3 linked regions of the Macaca mulatta genome follow. The protein of the gene in region 2 binds, or shares a complex with, the protein of the main gene of each other region. Links are inferred from orthologs where the notes say so. Each region holds a gene or a part of one and is shown on either strand. Other genes may lie near its edges.

What was found.
Region 1: the proteins of RPS6KA1 (region 2) and SYNJ2BP are in contact, whole or in part, in a crystal structure (PDB 7P74), measured with the Homo sapiens proteins. The link is inferred for Macaca mulatta from reciprocal best matches to the Homo sapiens genes RPS6KA1 and SYNJ2BP. Residues at the interface, in NP_002944.2 of Homo sapiens: Pro731, Ser732, Thr733, Thr734, Leu735; in NP_060843.2 of Homo sapiens: Arg18, Gly22, Leu23, Gly24, Phe25, Asn26, Ile27, Val28, Gln33, Ser45, Arg46, His78, Val82, Phe85, Arg86.
Region 3: the proteins of RPS6KA1 (region 2) and MAGI1 are in contact, whole or in part, in a crystal structure (PDB 5N7F), measured with the Homo sapiens proteins. The link is inferred for Macaca mulatta from reciprocal best matches to the Homo sapiens genes RPS6KA1 and MAGI1. Residues at the interface, in NP_002944.2 of Homo sapiens: Pro731, Ser732, Thr733, Thr734, Leu735; in NP_001028229.1 of Homo sapiens: Arg480, Gly481, Phe482, Gly483, Phe484, Thr485, Val486, Val487, Gly488, Asp490, Lys499, Ser500, His532, Val536, Phe539, Gln540.

The regions. Positions count from the first base shown.
Region 1 is NC_133412.1:143,542,249-143,549,162, reverse strand, and holds part of SYNJ2BP (synaptojanin-2-binding protein), read left to right. Parts: intron 1-2,095; exon of another isoform or gene 2,096-2,642; intron 2,643-2,824; exon of another isoform or gene 2,825-3,015; intron 3,016-3,310; coding exon 3,311-3,447; intron 3,448-6,914. UniProt on the Homo sapiens protein: Regulates endocytosis of activin type 2 receptor kinases through the Ral/RALBP1-dependent pathway and may be involved in suppression of activin-induced signal transduction.
Region 2 is NC_133406.1:214,440,715-214,448,414, reverse strand, and holds the start of RPS6KA1 (ribosomal protein S6 kinase alpha-1), read left to right. Parts: upstream 1-3,460; 5' UTR 3,461-4,527; coding exon 4,528-4,662; intron 4,663-5,491; coding exon 5,492-5,608; intron 5,609-5,814; coding exon 5,815-5,896; intron 5,897-7,700. UniProt on the Homo sapiens protein: Serine/threonine-protein kinase that acts downstream of ERK (MAPK1/ERK2 and MAPK3/ERK1) signaling and mediates mitogenic and stress-induced activation of the transcription factors CREB1, ETV1/ER81 and NR4A1/NUR77, regulates translation through RPS6 and EIF4B phosphorylation, and mediates cellular proliferation, survival, and differentiation by modulating mTOR signaling and repressing pro-apoptotic function of BAD and DAPK1.
Region 3 is NC_133407.1:128,931,728-128,938,641, reverse strand, and holds part of MAGI1 (membrane-associated guanylate kinase, WW and PDZ domain-containing protein 1), read left to right. Parts: intron 1-58; coding exon 59-142; intron 143-3,672; coding exon 3,673-3,764; intron 3,765-5,226; coding exon 5,227-5,419; intron 5,420-6,914. UniProt on the Homo sapiens protein: Plays a role in coupling actin fibers to cell junctions in endothelial cells, via its interaction with AMOTL2 and CDH5. May regulate acid-induced ASIC3 currents by modulating its expression at the cell surface.

The sequences.
Region 1 (6,914 bases), on a different chromosome or scaffold from region 2:
AATGTACCTATATAATATGACTTCGATGGGGTGTGTAGTAGAGGCCCTTGTTTGTTTATGGTAAATCTCAGTAAAATTTCTTCTACTCTTCCTTTTCTTATGCAGTTAACTTTGAATAACCAGTAGCAAAGTCCTTTCTCTTGCTAACTACTATATTGCATTCAGCTGCTTAACATTTGTTTCCTGTTCCCAAGATCACCAGAGGCACCTGTAGTGTTTGATGAGGATGTTGGATTTCATAGAAAGATTTTCTCTACATAGTTTGTTCTAGCTTGGGAGAGCTGGGTTGGCCTTGGCCCACTTGTTCAAAGCTGTCACAGTTTTTAAGTCGTTTAAAAACCTTCAATAATCTTGTTCCATCTACTTTTCCACTTTATCTCAAATTTCTGTACCTTCTCCAATACTTCTCACCTCTATGATACAAATTGAGGGTGCTGTGCTCCAAGAAAATCATTTAGTAAGTTAAGCTACTATTTTTAATACCCAGCCCTTCAAGGAAGTTAAAATAGCATCTTCCAGAAGTAGCACTTTCTTATTTAATTTATTTAGAGAAACAGGGTCTTGCTGTGTTGCCCAGCCAGGTCACAAACTCCAGAAGTAGCACTTTCTATGATGTATCTTTTTATTTTATTATTTTAGAGAATAAATTCTTTTTATTCTGTAGCTGCAGAGATTTTATGCACAACGTATGCTTTTTATTTATTTTATTTTATTTTTGAGATGAGGTCTCACTCTGTCACCCTGGCCGGAGTGCAGTGACACAGTCTTGGCTCACTGCAATCTCTGCCTCCCAGGCTCAAGCAGTCCTCCCACCTCAGCCTCCTAAGGTTGGTCATGTGCCACCACGCCTGTCTAATTTTTTGTATTTTTGGTAGAGATGGGGTTTCACCACGTTGCCCAGGCTGGTCTCAAATTCCTGAGCTCAAGTGATCCACCCACCTTGGCCTTCCAAAGTGCTGGGATTATAGGTGTGAGCCACCGTGCCTGGCTAAGGTATGCTTTTTAAATTAAATGTTTCCTGTTGAGTCTTTGTTTGGTCATGTTTTTCTTTAAATCACAAATTGATTTGCTAGTGCTTATGTTAATACTGTGAGCTTCAGGTGTAAGCTTTTCTCCCACCAATGGGAAGAACTTTCAGAAAGCCCACATATGTCTCTTTTTATTTTTGTTTTTGAGACGGAATCTTGCTCTGTTGCCCAGGCTGGAGTGCAGTGGTGCGATCTCTGCTCACTGCAAGCTCCGCCTCCCAGGTTCATGCCATTCTCCTGCCTCAGCCTCCCGAGTGTCTGGGACTACAGGCACCTGCCACCATGCCCAGCTAATTTTTTGTATTTTTAGTAGAGACAGGGTTTCACCGTGTTAGCCAGGATGGTCTCGTTGCGATCCGCTTTCCTCAGCTGGGATTACAGACGTGAGCCACCGCCCCGCCCCCTCCCCGCCCCGCATATGTCTCTTTAAGTATCTTTTCTATTGTGACCAGTGTAGGCTGGTGATTATGGTTATTCCTTCCAATTGCACCACCAGATTTTTGGTTCTTGTTTCCAAACTATCTCCTTTCTCTTACACTATGGCCCTGAATTCTACCAGTAGCTGACATTAAGAACCCTAGGGAAGTTCCTTTTTCCTTTTTTTTTTTTAAGCATAGGTAAAATCCCTTCATAACAATGGTTTCTGTACAGTGAAATCCTTTCTAGCACTTAGTTGTTGGTCCATGGAAATAGCACTTTGATACTCAGTTTTCTTTCCTTCTCTTTTTTCTTTTTAAAAATATTTTATTTTACTGTGGTAGGAACACTTAACGTGAGATCTACTCTGAACAGATTTTTCAGTGTACAATATAGTATTATCTATAGGCCAGTGTTGTACAGCAGATCTCTAGAACTTGATTCATCTTGCATAACTAAAATTATATGTGTTTAAAATAGTCAAACTCATAAAAACAAATATTAGAATGGTGGTTTCCAAGGACTTAGGGAAGAAGAACTGGGGAGTTGCTAATCAATGAGTAGTCAGTTTTTTCTACAGTGAATAAAACTTGTCAATTACTATACCCAAATATAGATTGAGTAGCCCAAATCCAAAAATCTGAAGTCTGAAATGCTTCCAACTCCAAAACTTTTTTTTTTTTTTTTGAGATGGAGTCTTGCTCTATCACCCATGCTGGAGTGCAGTGGCGCGATCTCGGCTCACTGCACCAACTCCAAAACTTTCTAAGGGCCAACATGATGTTCAAAGCAAATGCTCATTGAAGCATTTCAGATTTCAGATTTTTGGATTAGGGATGTTCACCTGGTAAGTTTAATTCAAATGTTCCAAAATCCCCCAGATTCAAAATTCAAAACACATTTGGTCCTAAGCATTTTGGATAAGGGATACTCAACCTATATATGGTTGTACTTGAAGTAGCAAAGGAAGGGAAGGTAAATTTGGTGATTTAGTCCTACCATGAAACAGCAGTTACCTTTCTGGTTCTGAGGTTTCTCTGCCAATACCTACACCACTGCCTCCACCAACCAAAATAGAAAGAAAAAAAAAAATGAAACTCTCAAGAGATTTTTCCAAAGCACTATCATACATAAATTCTCCAGAAGCTTGGGAGAAGGAAAGTGTGGAAGGGAAGGTATGGTTAGGAATCTCTCACACTAAATTAGGAACAGTTCATTTGATAATTGGTAAAAATGCATAGCTTCTTCTCATGAACACAACTAACCCTGCTGTGGTAATATCAGGAATGTCAGGAATTGGGTCCTTTGAATACCATCAACAGGATCAAAATTAAATGTGAGTAGAAGAATTTACATGTAGGCTGGGCATGGTGGCTCACACCTGTAATCCTAGAACTTTGGGAGGCCAAGGCAGTAGTGATTGCTTGAGGCCAGGAGTTCATAACCAGCCTGGGAAACTGAGTTATGAACTCCTGAGTAGCTGGGATTACAGGCGCCCGCCACTATGCCCCCTAGCAAGACTGTCTCAAAAAAAAAAAAGAAAAAGAAAAAAAAGAAAGAACTTAGAGTAATCACCATTACTCTTTAAGTTCTATATATATCTTTCTTTATATATTCAACAAAACAGGTGAATCACTGTGTTTATATTTTCAGTTGTGCCTCATTTGAGTGAGCAACTCAATACTCTTGATACTGCTGACCTTGTTCATGACCATTCACCAGCTCCATCACAGCCTGACTCGCCAGCGTCTCCTCTCCATCAGCCTTTCCTGCCCAGTAGGCTTTTCCTCCCTTTCTCTTCATCTTCTCTAATCCCTTTCTTTCTTCTTCACCCCCATCTTTTTACTCCTCCATGATTTTCTCAGGGCTGGGCTTCAACATCGTCGGTGGGACAGATCAGCAGTATGTCTCCAACGACAGTGGCATCTACGTCAGCCGCATCAAAGAAAATGGGGCTGCGGCCCTGGATGGGCGGCTCCAGGAGGGTGATAAGATACTTTCGGTGAGAATGGGCTTCGGCCTCCTTCACTGTCCTTTGCTCCCTAAGCCCTAGGTCCTACCCCTATCCCTTTCCTTGGAAAGATTTGGGTCTGGAAATATACAGATTATAGAGCTGAATGGGAGCAACTCTGATCAGTCATTCTTTCCAACCCTATCATTGAGCATGGAGGGCAATATTATGCTCACCTGATAAATGAGAATGTGAAGCCCAGAATGTGAAGTTACTTGTTCAAAAAGCACGAGGCAGGAAGCAGCGAGGGACTCATACGGGGAAAAGAGATATAAAATCCACAAATTTTGTCTTTCATCCATCATTGCCTCCTTTTGTTGATTAAAACACTAATGTGTATCTTCCTTTGGGGGAATGTCAGCCCTTATAATTGGATTTAACTTCAAAAAACAGAAAGAAGGAAGGTTGGAATTAAGTGTCCTTTTCAGACTCAGAGCCCTTTTTCACCCATTATTAACATGAAAATTTGGAATGCAGTTGATTTGGGTATCTGTCCACTGTGTTCCCATTTCATCCTGCTAATGTCTCTACCAAGACTTACTACATGGAAATTATTAATCTTATTCTTTTCTAGAATTTCCTCAAGGGGAGTGACAAGATCCTTTTTTTTTTTTTTTTTTTTGAGATGGAGTCTCGCTCTGTCACCCAGGCTGGAGTGCAGTGTCATGATCTTGGCTCACTGCAACCTTTGCCTCCCGGGTTCAAGTGATTCTCCTGCCTCAGCCTCCTGAGTAGCTGGGACTACAGGTGCCTGCCACTATGCCCAGTTAATTTTTTGTATTTTTAATAGAGATGGGGTTTCACCATGTTGGCCAGGCTGGTCTCGAACTCCTGACCTCATGATTCGCCCTCCTCGGCCTCCCAAAGTGCTGGGATTAGAGGCGTGAGCCACCGGGCCTGGCCTAAGATCTTTTTTTTAACATGTTGAATCATAGCGCAATGTTTAATAATGTTTAAGAAATGAACAAGTTAAGAAATTCAGGCAAACCTAAAAAGACTAGCTGATAAATACGGGCCCACAGACCTCAGGTCTTAAAATAAATTAGAACAAGCCTACAGTAAAAACTATTAAAATGCAAAATATAACTCTGGCCCTATTGTTCATTTCTCCACATTACCATAGGTCACAGTAATCCTATGATACTATCAGTTGCTGGGGGATAAGGAGGTGTAGATTGGAGATAATTATTCTGTAGAATTTCTTTTTTTATTAACTTTCAGGACTAGTGAAAAATGGCCAACTTATTACTCGTATGGAAACAGTACAGATGGTTGGTATAAAGAATGGAAAAATGCTGAGGGTGTGAGATATTATCTAGAATATTCTTGGGAGAGCTGGCTTCAAAGGGCTAGACTTAAATAAAAGGAAATTGAAATAGGATAGGGCTTCTCATAGGAGAAGCTCCTAAGCAGAAGCTCCTGTCTTCTCCAGATGGGCCATAAGCCCACGGTCTGAAGAGGAGAAAACTATTCCCTGTTTTCTTTTAGAACTGAATAGGGCAGGATGGCCAGGTTGGGAAAAGATTGAAATAAATGAATGAAGTATAGACAGGAGAAGTCTTGATTGACAGAATTAAGTATTAGTCTCAGAGACATGATTTTGAACCTACCTCTATAATAAGTTAGCTTCATCCCTTAAATTTTTTTTGCTATATAGTTTCATTTGAATTTCACTTCACTTTTCATGCAGTTCAGGTGATTAGTGATTACAGGTCATACGTGTGAAATCTCTTGCTCTTCTTAGTTGCCAGCTTACTGAACACTTCTCTGCCATGCAGCCCATTTGGTAGTAGTACCTGAAGGCAGAGATACAAAGGAAAAGAGAAAGAACATCCATCTTCTCTTCATTTGGCATCTGAGTATTTGAGTGATCAGGCTCAGCAGTATGGATCTGAATGCCTCTTCAGGAAGACCGTGACTCCACTTAGTCCCCAAAAAAGAAAGAAAATCAGAACAAGTAGCTATTAGAGCCACCTAAATTAGCTCAAGAATGTCTAAGCATGTGTCCTCGCTGATCTATAATATAAATATAGTATCAAGCACCACAGTATTTCAGTCCTTCTCATTGACTGTTTTGCCTCTCTTCCATCCGTTAAGCTTCTCCTAGACCCTATTTATTAATCTGTGAGATGGAGACAGTGATAATATACTGTCTTCTCAAAAGGATAGTGAAAAGTTTAGAAGCAGATTATTTCCTTTAGCTCCCAGGGAAAGACATTCATCCAATATGAATCAACTTGGCAGTGGTACTGTAAGGAAATGCTGAGAGTGGGTTGTTAAAATAAAGGTGTAGCATGTAGTTAGAATCTATGCAGCTTAATATTTTGACACATAAATTACATTATCCTCAGAACACTGGAATCTGGGCTCTGTGGATGAAGAATAGGAGTTAAGAAGAGAAAGAAGAGAGCTATATTATTTTAAAAGCTTTGGTTAAAGGTAGATTATTGCAAAATGAGAATGGTGAGAACTATTTGAGCACTAAATGTCAGGTAACATGCTGAGAACTTGAAATTTATTTTGTTTAATATTATAGTAACCCTATGAGGTGGGCATGATTATTGTGCCCAAGCCATTTGCCCAAAGTCACACAACTAGTAAGCAGCAAGGGACTCAAAGTTTGTTTGAGTCTGAATTTGTAGCCTTTGTTTTTAACCACTATGTTATACTGCCTCCTAAAAGGTAAATGAGGAGCTAAGGTTAGTTATCCTAAAGACAAAGTTACATGGTGAATTAACAGTAGATTGCATGGATGGTTTTATATAAAAACTGAAATTAGGCCAGGTACGGTGGCTCATGCCTGTAATCCCAGCACTTTGGGAGGCCAACGGGGGTGGATCACTTGAGGCCAGGAGTTCGAGACCTGCCTGGCCAACATGGCAAAACCCCGTCTCTACTAAAAATATATATAAATACGAAAAATTAGCTGGGCATGGTGGCATATGCCTTGGTGCATGCGCCTGTAGTCCCCCAGCTACTCAGGAGGCTGAGGCACGAGAATTGCTTGAACCTGGGAGGCGGAGGTTGCAGTGAGCTGAGATCATGCCAGTGCACTCCAACCTGGGCGACAGAGTGAGACTGTATCTCAAAATAAATAAAATAAAATAAAATAAAATAAAATAAAATAAAAACTGAAATTCATCTTTCTATAAATGGTAGAATCAGAAATAAGGAAATAAACCTCAATGTAAAAAAAAATTATTAGATACAAGCTGAAATGAGGAACCTTATGTGGACCATTTCCTTACAGAGAAAATAAATTATTGAAAGGCCTCTCAAGTTTTAAAAAAGTGTTGGGGCTGCTGATAAATGATGGAAGATAAATGTCAATGAAGAGAAAAGTAGATGTCTAAATTTATAGCAAAGAGGATTTTGCTTTACCAAAATATAAGGAATATAAAGATGTATACAAGATATTAAATATTACAAAGATATGTTACAAGGAATGATATGTTTAT
Region 2 (7,700 bases):
CACTTTGAGCCCAGGAGACGGAGGTTGCAGTGAGCTGAGATCTCACCACGGCACTCCAGCCTGGGCAGCAGAGTGAGACTCCCTCTCAAAAAAAAAAAAAAAAAAGAAAGGCTGCATGTGTAACTGCTCCATCAGTAGGAGGCACACTTATCATCATCTCTCCATGCCAGGCCTGACCTAGTGTTGGAGGCCAGCTCCCCTTCAAGGCTGCCAGGGAGCTGTGGACCCCTCCTCACCTGCCTGGTGGCATGCTGGGAGATGTGTCTGAGGACATCTGTCCCACCTGAGGGAGGGGGTAGTGCCTGGGAGGGCCCTGCAAATGCTGCCAGCTGGGGAAGGGGCTGTTGGTGTCCGTTAGGGACAGGATTGGCAGGTGGGCTTGGCTACAGCTGGTCGGGTGGGGACCCTGGAGACCAGGAATCAGGCCCGGGGGCTCTGGGCTTCTCTTCCAGCTGCCCTGTAGGAGGAAGTAAATAAAGAGGAAGTCCCTATGCGGGGGGATGGGGCAGGGACCAAGGGATGTGGGCTGGTGGCTGTCCTCCCCCCGCCCGCCACCAGAGGCCTCAGGGCCCACACAGCCTTCAGCAAAGGCAGTTCTGAGACTGTTTCCTTCCTGTTGCCCCTTCTGGTACCCTGCTGGCCACAGAGGCTAGTGTGGACTGGGCCCCTTGGTTTATCTCAGTCTGTGTCTGGAGACTGTCCTCCCACAAAGTAGCTACGTCTCTACCTTCTTTCTTTGCATCTGAGGGACCAGGGGTTGGTAGGGAGGGTGAGCTTTGGGGCTCCGAGAGCTGCCCCAGCCTCCAAACTGGTCTGAGGAAGGTGGAGAGCAATGAGAGGCTTGGCTGAGGGAGGCATCTTTCGCAATCTCCCAGCAGCCATCCACCCGCAGACTCTGCAAGGACAGGGAAGGGAAGTCTGTGTGTGCGTGGGGGCGTGTGTTTCTGCATAGGGGTTGTCTGTGGACAGCGTTTCCGATCACTGGCCTGAGTGTGTGTGTGTGTGTGTGTGTGTGTGTGTGTGTGTGTGTTCCTGTGCTGTACTGGTGTGAGTGATGAAGTGAGACCACGTAGAAAGGGGCTGGGCCTGGCCAACCCCTGCCCCATAGCTGCCTGCTCCTCCTCTCAGACCTCTGTGAGGTCCTTGGTTGGGCTTTCTGCCCACCTTACCCATCCTGGGGCTTGGGACTGGCAACCATCTTCGGGGCAGCTGAGCAGGGCAGGACCGGGGCCACTGGTGCCTGCTTTCTGGGCTGCCATTGTGGGTGGGCCTAGCCATGGGAAGGGTGCTATGGGGGGTGGGACACAGTATCTAAGCTCTGGGCTGGACAGTCAGACAGTGGCCTTTGCTGACTTTTGCCCCACATTCTTTCAGGTCCCCCCCTCACGTGGATGTTTGCGGGTGCTGATATGCCCACTGTGTCACCGCCTTATCGCCTTGTGACTTCTGTCTCTGCTCTTGTCTGTCCTCCTTAGAGTCAGAGGACATAGGGAGAAGTGTGCCCCTGGGCCTTCCCTGGGGTCATGGGCTTGGGGTCTGCAGTGTCCCCTCTTCTGCAGAGGAGCCTGACCCATCTTCTGCCCCTCCTCCCTGCAGAGGGGGAAGTGAAAAGGAGGGGGGCCAGAGACCCTGCCTTCTGGGCCAGGAAGGCTAAAAAAAAGCAGAAGTAAGAAGAGTAACGGGGCCTTCTGGCCACCGGCCTGAGCCCCACCATGCAGACCCCGGCAGATTTCCCCAGAGTTGAGAGAGACTTGGTTCCCTGTCCCAGAAAGGTGAGCAGAAGAGTCGCCTGCCTCCAGCAGTGTCTGTCACCGTGACTGGGCAAGGAATGGGTTTGGGGGTGGCTCTGTCCCCTGGGGTTTCTGGGTGATTTCCTGCTTCTGTCCCCAGGGAGTGCTCTCAGTCAGAGGCAGACAGATGAGGTAGAGGCTCAGATCTCAGGGTGGGGTGTGCAGGTATTGCTGTGTGTCCTTGGCCCCCCCTCAGTCCCTCTTTGAGCCAGGCTTTTTGCCTGTCCTGCCAGGAGGTTACACTCGGGTCTGATTTGACTGCGGCTCTCTGGTGTTTTTGTGGGGCTGTTCCACCCACTCCTCCATCTGTCAGGGAGGGTTAGGTATCTTCCCCTGAAGACAAGATTGTGTCTCCGAGGGACAGGACCTATAGTGGGAGGTCCCAGGTGGACTCTAGTACTGAAGGAGAAGGGGGTTTGGGTAGACGGGTGGGCAGGACGTGGCTCTGGCTGATTTACCTGTCCACCCTTTCCTGGCATTTGATGCCTGCTGACCCCAGGCCAGGCAGTAAGCAGGGAGGCACCTGGGTCCAAGCTAGCTCTGCCACTGTTTGCTTTGAGCCTCGGTGAGTCACTGTCTTCTGAGCCTCAGTTCCCTGTTCCTGGAATGAGGATACCAGTTTTTAGGATATGATCAGAGTCAAAGACATCAGATTGCACTCAGGAGATAGTCCTCTCAGCCACTATCTGGGCCCTCCTCAGGTCCTGGCATAGGAGGAAAATCCTAGGGAAATGGAAAACCTCAGAGGTGGGTCTGTAAGAAATACCAGAGTCCTCTCCTGAATGGTGAGAGTTTGCAGATTGTATCCCCTCATCTCTTTCCCCACCCCAGGTACAGCAGCAAGAACCCACAGTTCCGCCCTTAACCCCTTCCTGGGGATCCCTGCCCTGCTGCCTGCCTGTGTATCTGCCAGGTGTCAGACCTATCTGCCCTAGGTATTGTCAGTCTGCTTGGGGCTCGTTGCCTCTCCTGCTGTCTCTCTTTGCTGCCTTCCTGTGTCTGTGGTTGGGTTCCAATCTCTCTCGCCACTTGATAAGTGCCTGACTTCACCTGTTGGGCACATGTCACATGTTAGGTGCCTGTTGTTCATGTCCCCTTCTGTCTCTGCCTGTTGGGTTTATGTCTTCATCTGTCTCTGCCTATTGGATACATGTCCCCTTCTGTCTCTGCCTATTGGATACCTGTCCCCTTCTGTCTCTGCCTGTTGGGTTTATGTCCCCTTCTGTCATTGCCTGTTGGGTTCGAGTCACCATCTGTCTCTGCCTGTTGGATACATGTCCCCCTCTGTCATTGCCTGTTGAGGTTTGTTTTTTTTTTTTCCCAAGGCAGTCTCGCTCTGTTGCCCAGGCTGGAGTGCCCTGACGCGATCTTGGCTCACTGCAACCTCTGCCTCCCGGGTTCACGCCATTCTCCAGCCTCATCCTCCCAAGTAGCTGAGACTATAGGCGCCTGCCACCACGCCTAGCTAATTTTTGTATTTTTAGTAGAGACAGGGTTTCACCATGTAGGCCAGGATGATCTCGATCTCCTGACCTCGTGATCCACCTGCCTTGGCCTCCCAAAGTGCTGGGATTACAGGCGTGAGCCACCGTGCCCAGCCTGCCTGTTGGGTTTATGTCCCCTTCTGTCATTGCCTGTTGGGTTGGAATTCTCTTCTGTCCCTGCCTATTGGAGATGTGTTCCTTCTGCCTTTGCCTGTTGGGTTCATGTCCTCATCTGTCTTTACCTATTAGGTACATGTCCCCTTCTGTCTCTGCCTGTTGGGCTTGTGCCCCATCTGTCTCTGCCTGTTGGGTTTGTATCCTTATCTGCCTACACACATTGGGGATGAGTCTCTGTCCACCTCTGTCTGTTAGATATGAGTCCCCTCCTGCTTCCCCTTATTGGGTACACATCTCCATCTGTTTTCTATTGGATATGAATTCCTCCTGCCTCTGCCTGTTGGGTGCGTGTCCTTATCCATCCCTGCCTGTTGGGTATGTGTTCTCTCCTGCTCCTGCCTGTTGGATGCCATTCTTCTTTTTTTTTTTTGAGACAGAGTCTCGCTCTGTTGCCCAGGCTGGAGTGCAGTGGCATGATCTCGGCTCACTGCAAGCTCCACCTCCCGAGTTCACACCATTCTCCTGCCTCAGCCTCCCGAGTAGCTGGGACTACAGGCGCCCGCCACCACACCCAGCTAATTTTTTGTATTTTTAGTAGAGACGGGGTTTCATTGTGTTAGCCAGGATGGTCTCGATCTCCTGACCTCATGATCCGCCTGCCTCGGCCTCCCAGAGTGCTAGGATTACAGACATGATGGATGCCATTCTCATCTGTTTCCACCTGTTGGGTGCCTGCTTCTGCCTGTTGAGTGTCTCTCTTCATCTGCCTCCACATATGAGGCACCTGTCTTTGCCTGTTGGTTACCTGTTTGCTGTTGGGTACCTCGCTGCTGTTGGGTACCTGTCTGCTCAGCAGCTGCACTGGCAGAGGGCTTTCCCTTTGCAGACCCACAGGGAGGATGGGGGAATGGCCAGAGGGCAGCCCTCGGGCACTGAGGAGTGGGGGAGAGAGAGGAAGGGAACGTGGTGAGGGTGTAGGCCTGGTGCTGGGAAACCACAGGCCCTGAGTGATTGGCTCCCTTGGGCCGGGCCCAGCCCCCGCCCTCACCCTGCACATCCGCCTTGGTCCCGGCCACCACCGCGGCAGCCCCGGACTCTGCCTGCTCCTGCCATGGTGCCGTGGCCCTGCTGGGCGGATGGAGCAGGATCCCAAGCCGCCCCGTCTGCGGCTCTGGGCCCTGCTCCCCTGGCTGCCCAGGAAGCAGCGGCCCAGGATCAGCCAGACCTCTCTGCCTGTCCCTGGCCCTGGCTCTGGCCCCCAGCGGGACTCGGTGAGTGTACCCAGATGTCTGGTCCTGGCCTGGCTGTGTCCCTCGCAGCAGGTGCCTGGGAAGCCAGCTTAGCGTAATCTGGCTTTGGGCTGTCCTGGCCCAGGCCTGGCCCTGCGGGGTGACTGGACCCTGCCCAGACTTGCTTCCTGGGTAAGTGAGGAGGTACTTCAGGGCTTCAAGGCAATGGCAGCAGATTAGAGGGAGGGTAGAGTCCTGGAATGGCTAGGACGTGGCAAGGGGCTTCTAGTAGGTTTGTATGAAGGAAGTTTGGGAAGATGAGCCATGCAGTCTCTGGCCTTAATTCTGACCTGCCCCAGGCCAGCACTTACCAAGTTGATGGGGGAGTTTGGGTGACTCTTGGGTCTTTGTGCACGTCAGCCCTGTCCTACTGACCAGAGGGATCCCCTCATCCCATCCTGACCAGGAACGAAGGCCCAGCTCTACCTCCCCATATGAGAACAAACCTACTTCCTATTGTGGCAACCCTAAAGCAGCAGGGGGAGGGAAGCCCCACAGGCAGACCTGGGGCAGGTCTCTGGGTCTCAACCGGAGCCTGAGGTTGACTCAGCCTGGCCATGCCTGGGCATCCCTTTGGGCCTAATCAGGCCAGAGCATCGGGAGCAATAGGAGTGGTGCCTCTTCTGTTTGACCTCCCCAGCCTTTGAGGCCCTTTTGAAATCAATGACCTTGGAGGCTGGCCCTTCAGGGAAGTCGTCTGTTGGGCCTTTAGGTCTCATCTGCTGAGGTCTGGTGGGAATGGCCTTGGGCAGGGGAACTCCTGCTGCCCGGATGGGGCCCACCATGCCCACCAGCTCTGTCCCTCCATCAGGATGAGGGCGTCCTCAAGGAGATCTCCATCACGCACCACGTCAAGGCTGGCTCTGAGAAGGCTGATCCATCCCATTTCGAGCTCCTCAAGGTTCTGGGCCAGGGATCGTTTGGCAAAGTGAGTCATGAGCCCGTGGCTGTGAAGGCAACCCTCGTCATGTTAGAGGTGGGGGTCAGTGGTCACCTAGGGGCCCAAAGGATCAGAGGTCACCTTGGTACCCAGGGAGAACAAAAAGACCAGCTTGGGGCTCAGAGAAGATGGAGGTCAGCCTGGGCGCAGACCTCTCCCATCTTCTGCCCTTGCTTCCCTCTCTGCCTTCTCAGGTCTTCCTGGTACGGAAAGTCACCCGGCCTGACAGCGGGCACCTGTATGCTATGAAGGTGCTGAAGAAGGCGACGCTGAAAGGTGAGTAGGGACACCTCCCTGTGCAGAACCCAGGCTGGGCTGAGGGAGGCAGCCCAGACTTCAGGGGCCTTGGGTCTGGCAAGGGAGACGGCTCTGTCTTCAGGAGCACCTAGTTCAAAGGTGGAGAAACAGGCCTATTTCTCAGCCATCTCTCCCCACCCAGTCCCCCTCCCCCTAAGCCAAGTGCCAATGACTGGCTGTGAAGGTCTGGAAGGTGGTAACAGGGTAAATGTAATATGTTTGTCAGAGGGCAGGGCCCTCAGCTACTTAGCTGGTTAAGCAGAGGCGTTCTGACTGTTGATGCTAGCAGAGTCTGAGGGAGACCTCTGTGGCCCCTAACTCAGGGGCCTGAGAGAAGGGTGTGAGTGAAGAGGCAGGGAGCCCAGGGAGGCAGCTGGGCCAGGCGAGAGAGGGTGAGTCCAGGCAGGGCCACAGAGCTGGATGGCAGAGAGGTTCAGAAGGGAACCCTGGGCCAAGATTAGAGTTCTGGGGACTTACAAAGGATATGAGATGGTTGGTAGTGGGTTTTGGGTTGAACACTGACCCCGTGGCCTGGGAGCCCGTGTGACCACTGACCTGGCGGAGTCGCAGCCAGGTGCCCTTCCTTGACCAAGTCTCCCTTTAAATAAAAGTCACGGCCGGGCGCGGGGGCTCACACCTGTAATCCCAGCACTGTGGGAGGCCAAGGCGGGTGGATCATTTGAGGTCAGGAGTTCAAGACCTGGCCAACATGTTGATACCCTGTCTCTACTAAAAGTACAAAGAAATGAGCTGGGTGTGGTGGTGCGCCCCTGTAATCCCAGTCAGAGCCAAGTCCTAGCTGGGGAGGTCGTGGGGGCAGTAGGAGGCGTCAGCCTTAAGGATGTTATGGGTGGCTTTGGTCTCCTAAGGCCAGCCTGGTGGGGGTGGGAGTCATCCCCCAGGAGGTATGGTGGCAGCTTCAGAGGGAGGAGAAAGTTGAAAAGCCTGGGTTCCTGCTGTGAAGGGCTTGCAGGCTGGGCCGGAGAGGCTAAGCATACCCGACAGTGCGGTGCAGCCGGTGCTGAGACTGGTGTGCGTGGATATCCGACGGGCTGGGGAGCTGGGAGTGGTGGTGCAGCCTTGCAGAGGGTGGGACCAGAGGCCAAGGGGACACCTAAGGAGCGGTAAGCCTTGAAGGACGAGTGGATTTCTCCAGACCAAAAATGGTCGAGGAAGAGACCCTGGGAAGGAGAAACTGTTTGCCTGACCTAAAGTACAGAGGTGGTTTGAAAATGTAAGGTAGGCTGGGCGCCATGGCTCATACCTGTAATCCTAGCACTTTGGAAGGCTGAGGCGAGTGGATCACTTGAGGTCAGGAGTTCGAGACCAGTCTGGCCAACATGGGAAAACCCCATCTCTACTAAAATACAAAAATTAGCTGGGTTTGCTGGTTTGCACCTGTAGTCCCAGCTACTCAGGAGGTTGAGGCACAAGAATCGCTTGAACCCAGGAGGTGGAGGTTGCAGCGAGTAAAGATCGCGGCACCATACTCCAGCCTAGGCGATGAGAGCAAAACTCCATCTCAAAAAAAAAAAAAAAAAAAAAACAAAGGAAAAAGAAAATGTAAGGTGACCAAAATAGTTAACTCTGGTGTGGTCCCTGTCGTGTCTAGTGAGGAAAATACAAAAATTAAAATAGAGGAAGGGGCCCACTGATGTGAAAAGTGCTCTGAAGGGAACCAGCTCTGTAGCCCTGTGTGCTGACACAGAAGGCGTGTTGGAAGGCAGCTGCAGCTTCTACTTGTAGCAAGGGCCGAGGATTGTGTCCCGAACAAGACTCTGGA
Region 3 (6,914 bases), on a different chromosome or scaffold from region 2:
TGAACTAAGAGAAAGAATGTACATTAAGCTTTGCAAAATTGTGAAATTAATATTCCAGCCATGTCACCTTCACCTGCATCGGGATTGAGCAAGGGTGAGAGAGAGAGAGAAATCAATTCCACGAATTTTGGAGAATGTCCGAGTAAGGATCTGCTGAAAACTTTTGTCTCTCCATTTTCATTCATCTTGTTTGATGTTCTCATTGGTCTGGGGGCCTGGGGAGAAGTTCAGAAAAGAGAGGGAAGAAAAGAGGGGCATGAAGGGAAGTGCCTTGGAGCTCTTGTTGACCAAATGCAAACCAAAGACAAGATGGAATAAAAAGGGTTTTGCATGCCCTTGTCAAGTCTGGAAATGTGTTAGTATGTCTGTAGTAATGGAGACACCAGGAGGTTTCTCTGCAAACCTGGTGGTTCCATTCTCTCTAATTATCAAAGGAAGTCTTTTGACTGCTTTATTGAGTTGTCACTGGCATTGCCAAAAGGAGACTAACTGCAGAAATTGTTCATATGCAAGGGCTTACAAATGAAAACTGGACAAGGTTTTCTTAGCTCTATTTGATTTAGCCTCACTCAAAAAAAAGGGATATTAATATCGGAAAAATGGTTCTACCTTACTGCCGCCTAAAAACTTAATTGTAATAAAACCTGCCTGAAGTAAGGAAGGAAACCATTTCGGGGGAAGTAGTTTAGAAACTTCAATGCCTCTAAGAAGAGGTGGCCTCGGAGGACACAGAAGAGAGAAATTTCATAATCCCATAATGTGTTTCAGTACTGATTTATTGCCAAAGTTATATATTGGGGTAAATGGCATTTAGTTGGTAGAAGAGTAGAATTGTTAAAATGCCAAAATTGAAGTAGCAGAAGACTTTCTTTGTAACATGTCTGTGTTTTGATGTTTGTATCTGTGTTTTCTGGCTCGCTGTTGTGTCTTTAACATCCCTAGTGTCAGTGGGCATCTTCCTTTTCAACAGAAAACCTTTAAATAAATTTGCCATTTTCCCACTGATTCTCAGAAGGAAATGAAGCTTTTTTTTTTTTTTCATGTGGACTAAACGGTGTGATAAGCCTAAATCTGTTGGCCACAACCTCCCATACCATGCTAGCTCACACCTAAATGAGCAACAGTAGGCAGAAACTTGTTACATTTGGTGTCACTGTAGGATGGGCAAATGTTCCTGTGTTAAATGATGCTGAGAAAAATAGGTCTGGGCTGGAAGTCTCTGCAGAGGCCCTTTCGTTGTTCCCAGAAAGGCCACACACTCAGCAGACCTAAAACAGACTCTGCCAGGAACCCAGTGCTGGCTGGACAGCACCAGTGGTCTATTTCGGTAATAATCCTCCTGCTTGAGTGAACCAAAGACGGAGACACAACTTGATTTAATTTGTTGTTTCATTGAGGCTATTACAGCAAATATCCTTTAGCCAGCTACTCGAACAGAAAGAAAATATTGTTACCTTAGCGTGCTCAAGAAAATATTACTCTCAAATTGTGTTTATGGGAGTCCTGTGCTGTAGCTTAGCTCCATGTTCCCGGTGTTTTGCAGCTTAGCCTCAGCAATTATAATAAAAGCAGTGGATAGAAAGCACCCATTTACAGCCCTGGCACTGAGATAGCTCAAGTAAAAAGATCAGATTCGAACTCCTCTGACTTGTACTTACTGGTCATTTGGTTTCTTGTTTGTTGGTGCATTCATTCACTATACATTTTAAGTTTGTGGGTGAATCACTAAAAAGGGACATCTCTTCACCAACCTAAAATCTAAACATCCACCTTCTTCTTCCCTATTCCGTTGTACAAAACTGGAGAAGAAAAGAATTAAATTCTCAGGCCCGCACTTTCCTTCAGCCCCAAATCCAGTTAATTAAATAAGAAGGTATGCACTACAGCGTTTGAAAATCTCCTTTAGGATTCATTGCAACCGAATCGTATTTTTTTCTCTTTAAATAAAAGATACGTCATTTTATAGGTCATAAAACACCCTATGTATACATTAAAATATTAAGTAAGAATTAAATAGAAATAACCCTCTTTTACCTTAGTGAAGTAACAGAGTGGTATATAGAACGATTTCATATATAGTAAGTATTTTCTTATGGAAATTACATTTCTTTTAAAAAACAAGATATTCATTTTAAAGCCCTGGACCATTACTGGGCGTTGAAAGTAAAATACCAAGTTATTGGAAAATGAATTAATACTTTTAATGCTGAAATATCATAGGCAAATTCTAGAGTAAATCAGCGATTTTGGCAATGAGATATATGATTCATTAATATAGACTCTTTGTCATCACCATTGATCTTAAGGATTTGGAGGCCTGGCTGATTTTGGTAATAGTATTGAAATCCTAATAAACTTTGTACAGTCACCCCTCAGTATCTGCCGGGAATTGGTTTCAGGACACCTGCATCCCCCATCAAGGTTGTAAAAATCCATGGATGCTTAAATCCCTTGAAAATAGCATAATATTTGTGTGGAACACACACATACACACACACACACTCTCCTTCCTGTATTATTTGTTTGTTTGTTGTTTATGTATTTATTTATCTATTTGAGACAGCGTCTCACTCTGTCACCCAGGCTGGAGTGCACTGGGGCAGTCATGGCACACTGCAGTTTTAACCTCCCTGGCTCAAGCGATTCTCCCACCTCAGCTTCCTGAGTAGCTAGGACTATAGACACACACCACCACACCTGAACCATTTTTTATTTTTTGTAGAGACAAGGTCTCACTATGTTGCCCAGACTCAAATGCCTGGGCTCAAGCGATTCGCCGGCTTTGGCCTCCCAAAGTGCTGGGATTGCCACTGTAAGCTACCGCACCCACCTCCTCCTATATACTTTAAATCGTCTCTACACTGCTTATGACATCTAATACAATGCAAATGCCATGTAAATAGTTGTGATACTGTATTAGGAATAACGACAAGAAAAAAAAAATCTCTACGTATTCATCACAGCTAAAACCATTGTAGGTCTAACAAATTTTCTATCTGTGATTGGTTGAATCTAAGGATGCAGAACCCACAGATATGGAGGGCTGACTGTATGCAGAAATACTAGAATGTTTGAGAGTAATTTTTGGCAAAAATGATCTAACAAATTATTAGCATTGCTAGTCTTAATTATTTTAAGGAAGAAGAAAGTGACTTAAAGATAAATCAGAAAGTCTGTTTAAACCAAGCTGTTCTCTTTCATCCTCTAGTAGAGGAAACATCTGGTGACTTAACATGACTTCAGAATCCTTAGAGCCGGCTTCAGAGGTGGCTCTGACTTAGCCTGAGTTCTGTTCTTGGACATGGACACCTGCTTTGCAGTGTGGCACATCATACTTTTAATTTACTTAATTCCCCTTGCAAGAATACTGAGGAAAGCAGTTAATGCTGACTATTTGTAGTTAAGGATCATGGCTTGGGCTTGATTCGGAATTATCAAACAGTGATGAGTCCTTTGAAGAACTTTAGGGCTCAGTGACTATTCCCACTATTTACTTTATCCCCATGTCTTCTGTTATTTCACCTGTTCAGAGTATTTTGTTTCTTTGCCTATATTGAAAAGCTTCCATCTGATCAAGCACCACCATTCTTGTCTTGCAACTGTGTTCATCTTGGGGGTATCACTGCTTTTATCAGAAAAATAATCCATGTCTTTTTTCTCCCCTCTCTGCAGTTCCAGATTACCAGGAACAGGACATCTTCCTCTGGAGAAAAGAGACTGGATTTGGATTTAGGATTCTGGGTGGAAATGAACCAGGGGAACCTGTGAGTCTTTTGCTCGTCTCTCTCCCCGGCATATTTTTCTAAGGCTTCAAAGCAAATTGGCAACAGTGACAAATCACCAAGATTTGTCCAGCTAGATGCAACACTGACTCTTTCATCTTGAGTAGTATGGGTTTTTCATTGGATTTTGTGGAGCACTGTTTGTCTTGAGGAAGAAGAGACTAGATTCTTTCTAAAAAGTTTGTATGCGTGTTTGTGAAAAGTGGCAGCTGCAGCCTCTGTAGACCACCCCTTTCCCCCAAGGGAGACAAAAACAGAAAGCAAAACAGGATAATCATCACCTGATGTAACAGTAGCCTGGTCCTTCTGGCCAGGTCCCTTCACTCTGCCAGCAGGTACTGGGCTTTGTGTGTTGAGTTGCTGGTGTGCAGAGAGTATTTCACAAAGCCTTATGGGACAGTGATTGGAGAATGTCAGAACCCTGCCTTTACAAAACTTGAGAAAGAACCCTGAGTAAGGGTCAAGAAACGTTGAACTTCCCTGGATCTCAGTGACCTCCATTTTGGAATAAATTTAGAATAACATAACAGGGTTCTTTTGAAGGAAGAAAAGAAAACTAAAATAGGTATTGTTAATTTCCTTGTGATAATAATAGCCATTATTCATCGAGCGCTTACTATGTGCCAGGTTCTGTGCTAAAGGCTCTTAACATACATTCTCTCATTTATCCATCAAACCCACCAGTTTATCCCGTTTTCACATTGAGAAAAAGAAAAGCTAATTAACTTGCCCAAGATTACGGAGCTACCAAACGGAGGGACTGACAAATAAGGTCTGACTCGAATCCATGTTCTTAGCAACTATTTTGTCAAAGTTCTTTGCAAACTGTAAATGCCATGTAAAGGTAACTATAGCATTATTGTCTGCTGGAAAGGCAAGGTAGGCACAAGTATTTTAGCTAAGGTTTAGTGAATGGCAAATATAACAGTAAGACATTAACTATAAAGAATGCTCTGCTTTCAGGTGCTAAAAGACTTCGAAAATGGAGATGTCCAACTAATTTTTGCTTCATTCATTCATTTAAGAGTATTTATTACATATTCCCTATTCCTAGGCATGATGCTAGACTCTTAAATAAAAGTAATATTAAAATTTTATTAGCAGAGTTGTATGGAAAGAGAGTTTTTAGGTAGGTAGGAAAGAAGAATAGGTTGTACAATGAAGGGAGAAAAGTGATTTATATCTACAGCGGAGAAAAAGAAAGAGTGAGTTGTCAGTAGGCCACAGATAAACAGCTGGAAACTAAGCAAGAAATATTCTTTCCACCATTTAATAATTGTGACAATACTTAGCACAATGTCTTGTACACAGTGGGTGCTCAATAAATGTTTGTGGCATGCCTGCAGACATGAATGAATGAATTGTTCCCAGAGATGTGAAGGCCATTGATGTCACAGTAAATGTAGGAGAGAAGTGTTTCATCCATCGTTCAATTATTCAACAGATTTATATTGGTCACATTGTACCACTGGGTGCTGCTGATACCGACGGCCGCCTGAGGTCTGGAGATGAATTAATCTGTGTGGATGGGACGCCAGTAATTGGAAAATCACACCAGCTTGTGGTCCAGCTTATGCAACAAGCTGCCAAACAAGGCCACGTCAATCTCACAGTGCGGCGTAAAGTGGTTTTTGCGGGTATGTATTTCATTCATTCGTTCAGACAGTGCGTTGTCACTTGATTCACAGAAAAGGCCTCCTTCCTGTGTCTGCCTCCTTGAGCATCTATTTTAGCAAATGTTTGCAAATGTGATCAAGCTCAGAATTTCCAGATGGCTTGCTTCTCTCAAACCCTGCAAAAATTACTGTCATTCTAAAGTACTTTAATGTGCCGTTTGCATATGTTCAACAAAGTCTTCCAGAGGAAGGCTTGTTGAATATATATTACTTCCCTTCTATCTCCTTGCAAATCAGAACTTAGCCATCCTCTTCATTTGATGATAATCCTCAACAAATGAGGTCATTATGAAAGTCAGAAGAGTTGTAGCTTCATATCAAGAGAACAAAAATTGGGTTTGTGCTACAAAATAAGCTCATAAAAAAGTTACTGATTTCTTACTGTCCTATGTATTAAACCAAGATTTTTTTTTCTTTCTACAAGAAAGTTGTAGAGCCAGCCAGTTCTAGGTCAGCTTTGATTCCTTCTTCCTGCCCATAAGCTTTGAACTTTAATTCTCAAAATACTACATATCCTTTCAGGCTCAGCACAAATATAACCTTCTTCCCTCGGAAATTCCTCCTTCCTCCGACTACCTTCAGATTTTAGCATTCCCTCCTTGCCATTCTAGTGACTCATGGTTTACTTCCACATCCGAATCTGCCATTTTGAGACAGTGAATTGTGTGTCTGTCCTTTCCCTTGACCTACCAGCTTCCTGAAAGCTCACGTTGAATACACCTTGTTGTTCACCTTTGGATGCAGCTCCCACTTTGAAACCTTTGAGACAGAACCCAGAATACAGCAGAAGTGATTGTCTTCTATCAGTTGAATTACTGGAGAAATATGACCTGAAATATTATGAATTCTTGTGGCATTAATATTAGTGAAACAGATACCTGCCAGATCAAATTAATTGGTACCTTGTTTTTTTTTTTAAAAAAAAGTATAACCCATTTTAAATGGTATATGATTAATTATAGAATTAAGATGTTAAATTCCAGTGTGAGAGTCCTACCTCCTGCATCCATGGAAAACAGTGTTAATCTGCTGTAGGTTATGTCCCTAGAGCTTGTTTGTGGCCTCACAATCCTTCTTAACATAGTATTCCATGCAGCTAAAAGCAGTCAGTTAGAACTGGTTTTTGAGATGAGATGAAAACTATCTGGCTTCCCTGGCCCAAATAGAAATAGTAAGGCAATGTGATATTTTGTGTTTCAGGTTTATTTTTTTAAATATTAAATATTTTGGATTTTTAGCTCTGTGTAAAAGGCGTGTCAAAACTATGAAGAGACATTATGCAAAGCGAACTAGTCACAAAAGGAGAAATATTGATTCCCTTTATATGAGGTACCTAGGGTAGTCAAATTTATAGAGACAGAAAGCAGAATGATGGTCGGTGGGGAATGGAGGAAATGGGAAGGGGAATTAGTTTTTAATGAGTACAGAGTTTCAATTTGGGAAAACGACAAAATTC